Linked DNA regions of Ovis aries. The protein of the gene in region 2 purifies or fractionates together with the protein of the main gene of each other region. This does not show direct contact. Links are inferred from orthologs where the notes say so. Each region holds a gene or a part of one and is shown on either strand. Other genes may lie near its edges.

Region 1 (3,654 bases), on a different chromosome or scaffold from region 2:
AACAAATAATCCTAAAATTTATAAGGAACCACAAGAACTGCCAAAGCAATCCTGAGGATAAAGAAGAAAGCTGGAAACACAACTCTCCCAGACTTCAGATAATACTACAGAGCTACAGTAGAGCCCAGAAATAAAACCACACACCTACTGTCAATTAATCTTGACAAAGGAGGCAAGAACAGAACGACAAAAAAAAAGACTCACAGACGTAGGAAAAAAACATATATTTACCAGAGGGGAAAGGGTGTCAGGGAGAAATAAATTACGAGTATGAGATTGAACAAACTACTATATATAAAACAGATAAGCAATAAAGACTTACTGTACAGCACAGGGAACTATATGCAATATCTTAAAATAACTTAAATGCAAAAATAATCTGAAAAAATATATATATAACTCAATCAGTTTGCTGTACACCTGAAACTAATACTGTAAGTCAACTGTACTTCTATTTAAAAAAACAGAGGTTAATACTATGCCCCATTGGTAAGCAGTCTCTGCAACAATGAATATCTCAAGGCAGACATTCCAGTACAGGATCATTCTAATAGATGTATCATCTGAACAACAACAACAACAAAAATAAACGCACTGTATCTTCTATATACTTCCTTAAACTTATCTCATTTCTTCTTTCCTCTCCAGAATAAAAGAAAAAATAAAATGTTCCTTACAAGGCAAGTTTTCATCTTGCAATAACACCTTAGGGACTACGTGTTGGATAATCAAAAATTATCCAATACATTTCCAAACTCTGCCTTCTCTCCTTAGGTTCCCAGTGCTACCAACACTTTACAAGTACTACCTTACCCTGTCTAATCATGCCATAGCAGCATGTTAAATACAGTAACCACCAGCCACGTGTGATTATTTAAGCAAACTAAAAACCGAGTTCCTTAGTCACACTAGCCACATTCCAAGAATTTTACTGCCATGTGTAGCTAGTGGATAATGTACTGGATGGTGAAGATACAGGACCTTCATAGAAAGTTTTACTGGACAGCACCGTATCTAGAGTCTGGACAAAACTTTACTTGTTTACTAGACTTCAATTCTTAATACTGGCTTCATCACTAAGTACTTATGTAGCTTAATGAACTTGTTTAAGAAAAATAATTACAAGAACTTCTGGTTATTGTTATTTCATATGTTAACAAAGCACTTGCTACTATATTATAAATCTTTAAAAATATGTACTAATAATTATACTTCAAATTAACTTGTTTTCTTTATAAAGCTATACATTTTGTTTTGCTCAGAAGGGGTCTTAGGCTTTATGAGACTGAAGACAGTCCACAGCACAAGAGAAGTTAAGAACCTTGAATTAGAGTAGGCCAAGGAAATATTTCCGGCTTTTTGGGCCATAAAGTCTGTTATGACTTCTCAGCTCTGCCATTGTAGTGCAAAAGCATCCACAGAAAATACATAATTGAATGAGCATGGCTTTAATAAAACTTTATTCACAAAAGCAGATAGTGGGCCAGATTTGGCAAACAGGTGGTAATTTGTCAACCCTTGAATGGAATTATCTAAGACACAAAAATGGTCATGTCATCTATTTGCATAAAGTTTTCAGTAGTTTCCTCAAAACCCTGGATTATCTGACTTCAATCTGTATCTTACTTTCTTTTTTTCCTTCTTTCTTAAAACTTAACCAAGAATTTTCAGCCCAACAACTACTTTTTAGCTCTCTGCACATTACTCTGGTTATCTTCCCTAGGTTTTTATATAATGCGCATCCTGTACCTGAAACATCCTCATACACAAATTCTTACCATCTTTCAGACACTGAAAGATGGCATGAACCACTCAGTAGAGCACAATGGTTAAGAATTCAGGCTCTGAGGCAGCCAGGGCCCAGAGTAGTTCAATATCCTTTTAGACTAACTCAGCTATTTAAAAGCAGAGTGAGGAGTGGAACTCAGCTCTCTATCATTAATTTTTTCAGCATTTATAGATCATTAACTATGCTCAGGTAAACATTATGCTGAACCTGAGATGTATAAAGGCAAGACCCCTTCTCTAGCCCCAGTCAAACTGCTCAGCTAATGCCACATGGAACACAGTTTAATCTCTGTTAAGCTCTGCCCAAATTCTTGACCCACAAAATTGTGGGACATAATAAGAAAACTGCTATTATAAAATAAAATAAGTAAATAAACCCGAAACAAAACAAAACAAAAAGGACATAGGCTCTGCAGCAGATTCCCCAGGTTGGAATCCTAGTGCTGCCTATTATAAGCCCATCTGACCTTGGGCATGTTATATAATGGAAGTGACAGCCAATTTTGGTCCCTTGACAATAATTAGAAATAACTTACTTGCCCCATACTTCACTAGAGTTTTATCAAAAACAAGAATCACTGGTATAGAAAAATACTAATATTAGAAATAAAATTCTTAACCAAAATTACAAATATTACTGACCTACTGATGAAAACTCGTCCTCCAGAGTCCTAGAGCTGTTGGGAGATGAACTCTGATCATCTTTACTTTCTGAAGAATGGTGTGCTCCATCCTCTTCTTCGGCTGAAAGATAAACCATTCTGGATTCTAACAGGACATTTTTTGAATATAACATGAAAGATTCAGGATATTGGAATCAATAAATGAAATTCTACACAACACATAGTGTATGTAAAATATGGTGTTTTAATTTTATTCCACATATTTAAAGTAGACATGCAGACCTTTCTTTAACTTCCTTTCTTTCTGAAATGAACAGTCTAATAAATATGCAACAATATATCCTATTTGCATTATCTACTTAACTAGTGAAATACTTAACTAGTGATATAACATGAAATACATACTATTAAAGAATGCAACAAAAAGAGGGAAGGGAAAAAACAAAAAGAGAAAAAAGTAAATGACCAAAAAAAGAAGGAATATTTAAAAGAGAAAAGACGAACAGTGGTAGTAAATAAGCAGATAAAGAAGAGAACACTTAATGTATACTTGCTATGTGCTAGGCATACTGAAGTCTGTTTTACAAAATATATTTCATTTAGTTCTCACAATTCAATAAAGTAAATGCTATTACTGATGAGGACACTAGGGACTGGAATGGCTAAATAACATGCCCAGTATCACAAAGTTACTAAATGGAGAAATCCAACTCTTGGATTCAGGCTGGTGGTAAGAAGTATTATAATGGGCACTGCAGTCTCAAACTAAATCATGGATCTATTTCCACTGTGTGATTCTGGAAAGGACACAGTCAATTAATCAATAAACAAAGATAGTATTAAAAGAGAACACCCCATAGAAGTGTTATCAGGACTGAATGAGCAAAACGTAAAGGAACTCATGGTATTATTGACAAAAAAGGACTTGTTGGTTCACAATTATTTTGTAATATTTGTGAATAACCTTAAGATTTAAGATTGCATAATAACTACTCTATCTTAAAAATGCTCCCTAAGGATTTCCCTGGCAGCCCAGTGGCTAAGACTGAGCCTTCCAATGAAGGGAGTGCAGGTTTGAACCCTGCTTAGGGAACGAAGATGCTACCAATCATGCATGGGTAAAAGATTCACTCAGAGCGCAAAACACATGGATGGATTTTAATCTAATTGAGCATAACAAAATGATATGGTTTCAGCTCCCACGTATCATGCAGAAATTGGCACTTGCCTCCTGTCTATACAA
Region 2 (3,654 bases):
CTGATTTTGATTATGTGAAAGAACTAGGGCAATTTCCCACTATACTGTTTAGGGTGGTGTCACTAATGTACCATGGGCATTAAAATAGCTAAAACATTCAACTGGAACAGTGACTTTTAACCTAAGAGAACAGAAAAATGGCCTTTAGAGCTTGTTAAAGACACAAAAGAGAAGGTAATGGCACTCCACTCCAGTACTCTTGCCTGGAAAATCCCATGGATGGAGGAGCCTGGTGGGCTGCAGTCCATGGGGTCGCTAAGAGTCGGACATGACTGAGTGGCTTCACTTTCACTTTCATGCACTGGAAAAGGAAATGGCAATCCACTCCAGTGTTCTTGCCTGGAGAATCCCAGTGAAGGAGGAGCCTGGTGGGGTGCCATCTATGGGGTGGCACAGAGGTGGACACGACTGAAGCGACTTAGCAGCAGCAGCAAGGATGCAGATTCTTACAGTATTTCATCTGTAAATTTCATCTGTTTCAGCAAGCCTGAAACAGGGCCAAGAACTTGCTTTAACAAATTCCCCTACCCAAGGCAGGCAATCCACTGACCACACTTGAAAAAAAAATGTTCTAGAGCAGGGATCAGATTTCTTACTATAAAGGGCCAAAATTTTTTAGGCTTTCCATCCATATACCACCTCTGAAGCATATTCTTTGCTTTCCATCCATACACCACCTCTGAAGCATATTCTTTGTTTTCATATAAACCCTTAAAATATGTAAAAACTAAAACTAAAATATGTAAAAACAGTTCTTAAAATATGTAAAAACTAAAACAAGAGGGTCAAGCACATGTAACTAAATTAATTAAAATTCTATAAAATTAAATTTTAGTTCCTCCTCTCACTAGCTGCAATGCAAATACTCAAGTTCATTATATTGTTGCAGCTACAAAAACTAATAGTGTGGCATCTAGTTTCATTACTTCATGGCAAATAGATGGGGAAACAATGAAAACAGTGACAGACTTTATTTGGGGGGACTCCAAAATCACTGCAGATGGTGACTGCAGCCATGAAATTAAAAAATGCTTGCTCCTTGGAAGAAAAGCTATGACAAACCTAGACAGCATACTAAAAAGCAGAGACATTACTTTGCTGACAAAGGTCCATCTAGTCAAAGCTACGGTTTTTTCAGTAGGCATGTATGGATGTGAGAGTTGGAGTATAAACAAAGCTGAGCACCAAAGAACTGATGCTTTTGAATTGTGGTGTTGGAGAAGACTCTTGAGAGTCTCTTGGACTGCAAGGAGATCAAACCAGTCAATCCTAAAGGCAAATCAATCCTGATTTTTCACTGGAAGGGCTGATGCTGAAGCTCCAACTTTGGCCTCCTGATGTGAAGAGGAGCTAACTCACTGGAAAAGACCCTGATACTTGCAAAAGACTGAGAGCAGGAGAAAGGGGCTACAGAGGATGAGATGGTTGGATGGCATCATTGACTTAATGTATGTGAGTCTGAGCAAACTCAGGGAGATAGTGAAGGACAGGGAAGGCTGGTGTGCTGCATTCCAATGGGTTGCAAAGAATCAGACATGGCTGAGCAACTGAACAGCAACAACTATATTGAACAGTATAGACATAAAAACATTTCCACATGTAAAGAAAGTTCTAATGGAGTAGCACTGTTCTAGAAACAGACTCTCAGATCAGACCCTATATCTGACCTAGCGAATAAAAATCTGCAAGATTTCCAAATGACTGGCATGTATATTAGTTTGAGAAGGACACTGCAGAAAATTCACAAAGCCTATCACAACAAATGACAAACTTTCAGAAAACCTCTAAAAGAGTTTCTTTTATCCAGATAACTCACTGAACTTATTTAAGCCATCAAAAATTTCATAGCCCACCTGTAAACATCCTGATGGAAATGAGTTTAGAAAATGCTGCATGTGAGAATAAAATCCCTATCTTAAAAATGATGTAAAGTCTAAAGAATTTCAGTGATTCCTTCCAATTCTCAATAAACACATGTAGGAAGACAAAAACAAAACACAAACACTTGTTTTGATGGTAGATGGGCACCTGAGTTATACAAATTCCCTTACAAACTAAATTACTGCCTAGAGTAACCAGATTTCATTCATGGCTCAGCAGAATGGCAAATTAGCACAAAATCACTTGCCACTCGGGTCTCTCCAAAGTTGAGATTAAAACTGCTAAATCCTGAAATTCTAAAAGCATTTAATATTCTCAGGATATCAACTAGAACACAAATGTTAACAGCATAAAAGGGTATATTCCTAGAGTACATACAGGGAGTTATATATTTCATATATAAATACAATCATGCTGAAGAAAAACTTTCTAGACACTGGGATGAGAAATACATGGTTAATGTATGTTGGGTTCCTAAGTTTAAAGGTGTTGCCTAATAGAAATAATATAAATAAGGAACCAAGTAACGACAATACCTCTTGACCAGTTAAGAAAAGTAGTAGATCTCCTTCCTCCTCTTCACACATGTGAATTTGGATCACGGTTCGAATTGCCGCTTCAAGATAATCTCTCTCTGGTTCAGGAGTATAAAAGATCTCAACAGGATGTGTACGCCCAGGAATAGTTAAGAGAGGACAGTTATCAAAGTAAATCTGGAATTTTCCTGCATCCAGAGTAGCACTCATAACTATAACCTGAAAAGAAAACAGTAAATTATTTGAAGCTGTCTTCAGAGATTGTAAAGAGATGAGTAATGTTTACTGCTCCATATATGTCAACTATGGTGTCTCTAGTGGCTCAGAGAGTAAAGAATCGGCCTGCAAAGCCGGAGACTGTGGTTCTATCCCTGGGTCAGTAAGATCCCCTGGAGAAAAGAAGGACTAACCACTCCAGTATTGTTTCCTGGAGAATTCCAAGGACAGAGGAGCAAGGCGGGCTAGTCTATGGGGTCACAAAGAGTCAAGACATGACTAAAGCAACTAACACTTTCACTCCTCATATATTAATTATGCCTTAAAAGTTGTGATAAATCAAATATAGAAAAGCTGAGCTACAGTAAATTTAATTTTTAAAAAGTAGGAATAAACCTGATAACCAATAAATAAACTACTGTATATTTTCATGAAGCAACACCTTAAAAACCAAAGTTTATAAAATTACATAAAAGGAACTGATAAGAGACATCAATATGTAATATGATTGTTACTATGCTATTAAAACAAAAAGTGACAACCTCGCACACAGGGAAAAACAAAAAAAGCAAAAAATAAATCAGTGGTACAAATATTTCTCCATTCTTCCAAATCATCTTTACTAAGCATAAGTTCTTCAGAAAACTTTCTAAAACAAACAGGTTTTCTATACTACTGAAAAAGCCACAGCAACAAAAGGTTGTTCAGGTACCGGCTGCATGACTGTGTGGTCACCCTCTCTTTATTTAAATTATACATGACAAAACCCATTAAACAAAAAGCTCTCCCATTAAACATTCCACTATAGAGTTCTTAATTTCTATTTTTGAGTTCCTCCCTCAAAATTTCAATAGCTCATAACGTTTAATCAGTAATAGTACTCAGTTGTTCAAATATATTCTTTAAAGTATACATTTAATTTTTATAGTAAAATCAAACTCAGTATCAATTTTTTTAAGACCCAGAATCTTTCTCCCCAGTGTACAAACCTCTGTAACACATACAATAACACTCAACACCA

What was found.
Region 1: the proteins of DHX15 (region 2) and GCFC2 purify together in Homo sapiens (co-immunoprecipitation; 3 studies listed by BioGRID and IntAct, with this or other methods). This does not show direct contact. The link is inferred for Ovis aries from reciprocal best matches to the Homo sapiens genes DHX15 and GCFC2.

The regions. Positions count from the first base shown.
Region 1 is NC_056056.1:62,826,530-62,830,183, forward strand, and holds part of GCFC2 (intron Large complex component GCFC2), read right to left. Parts: intron 2,557-3,654; coding exon 2,431-2,556; intron 1-2,430.
Region 2 is NC_056059.1:44,726,904-44,730,557, forward strand, and holds part of DHX15 (ATP-dependent RNA helicase DHX15), read right to left. Parts: intron 2,637-3,654; coding exon 2,418-2,636; intron 1-2,417.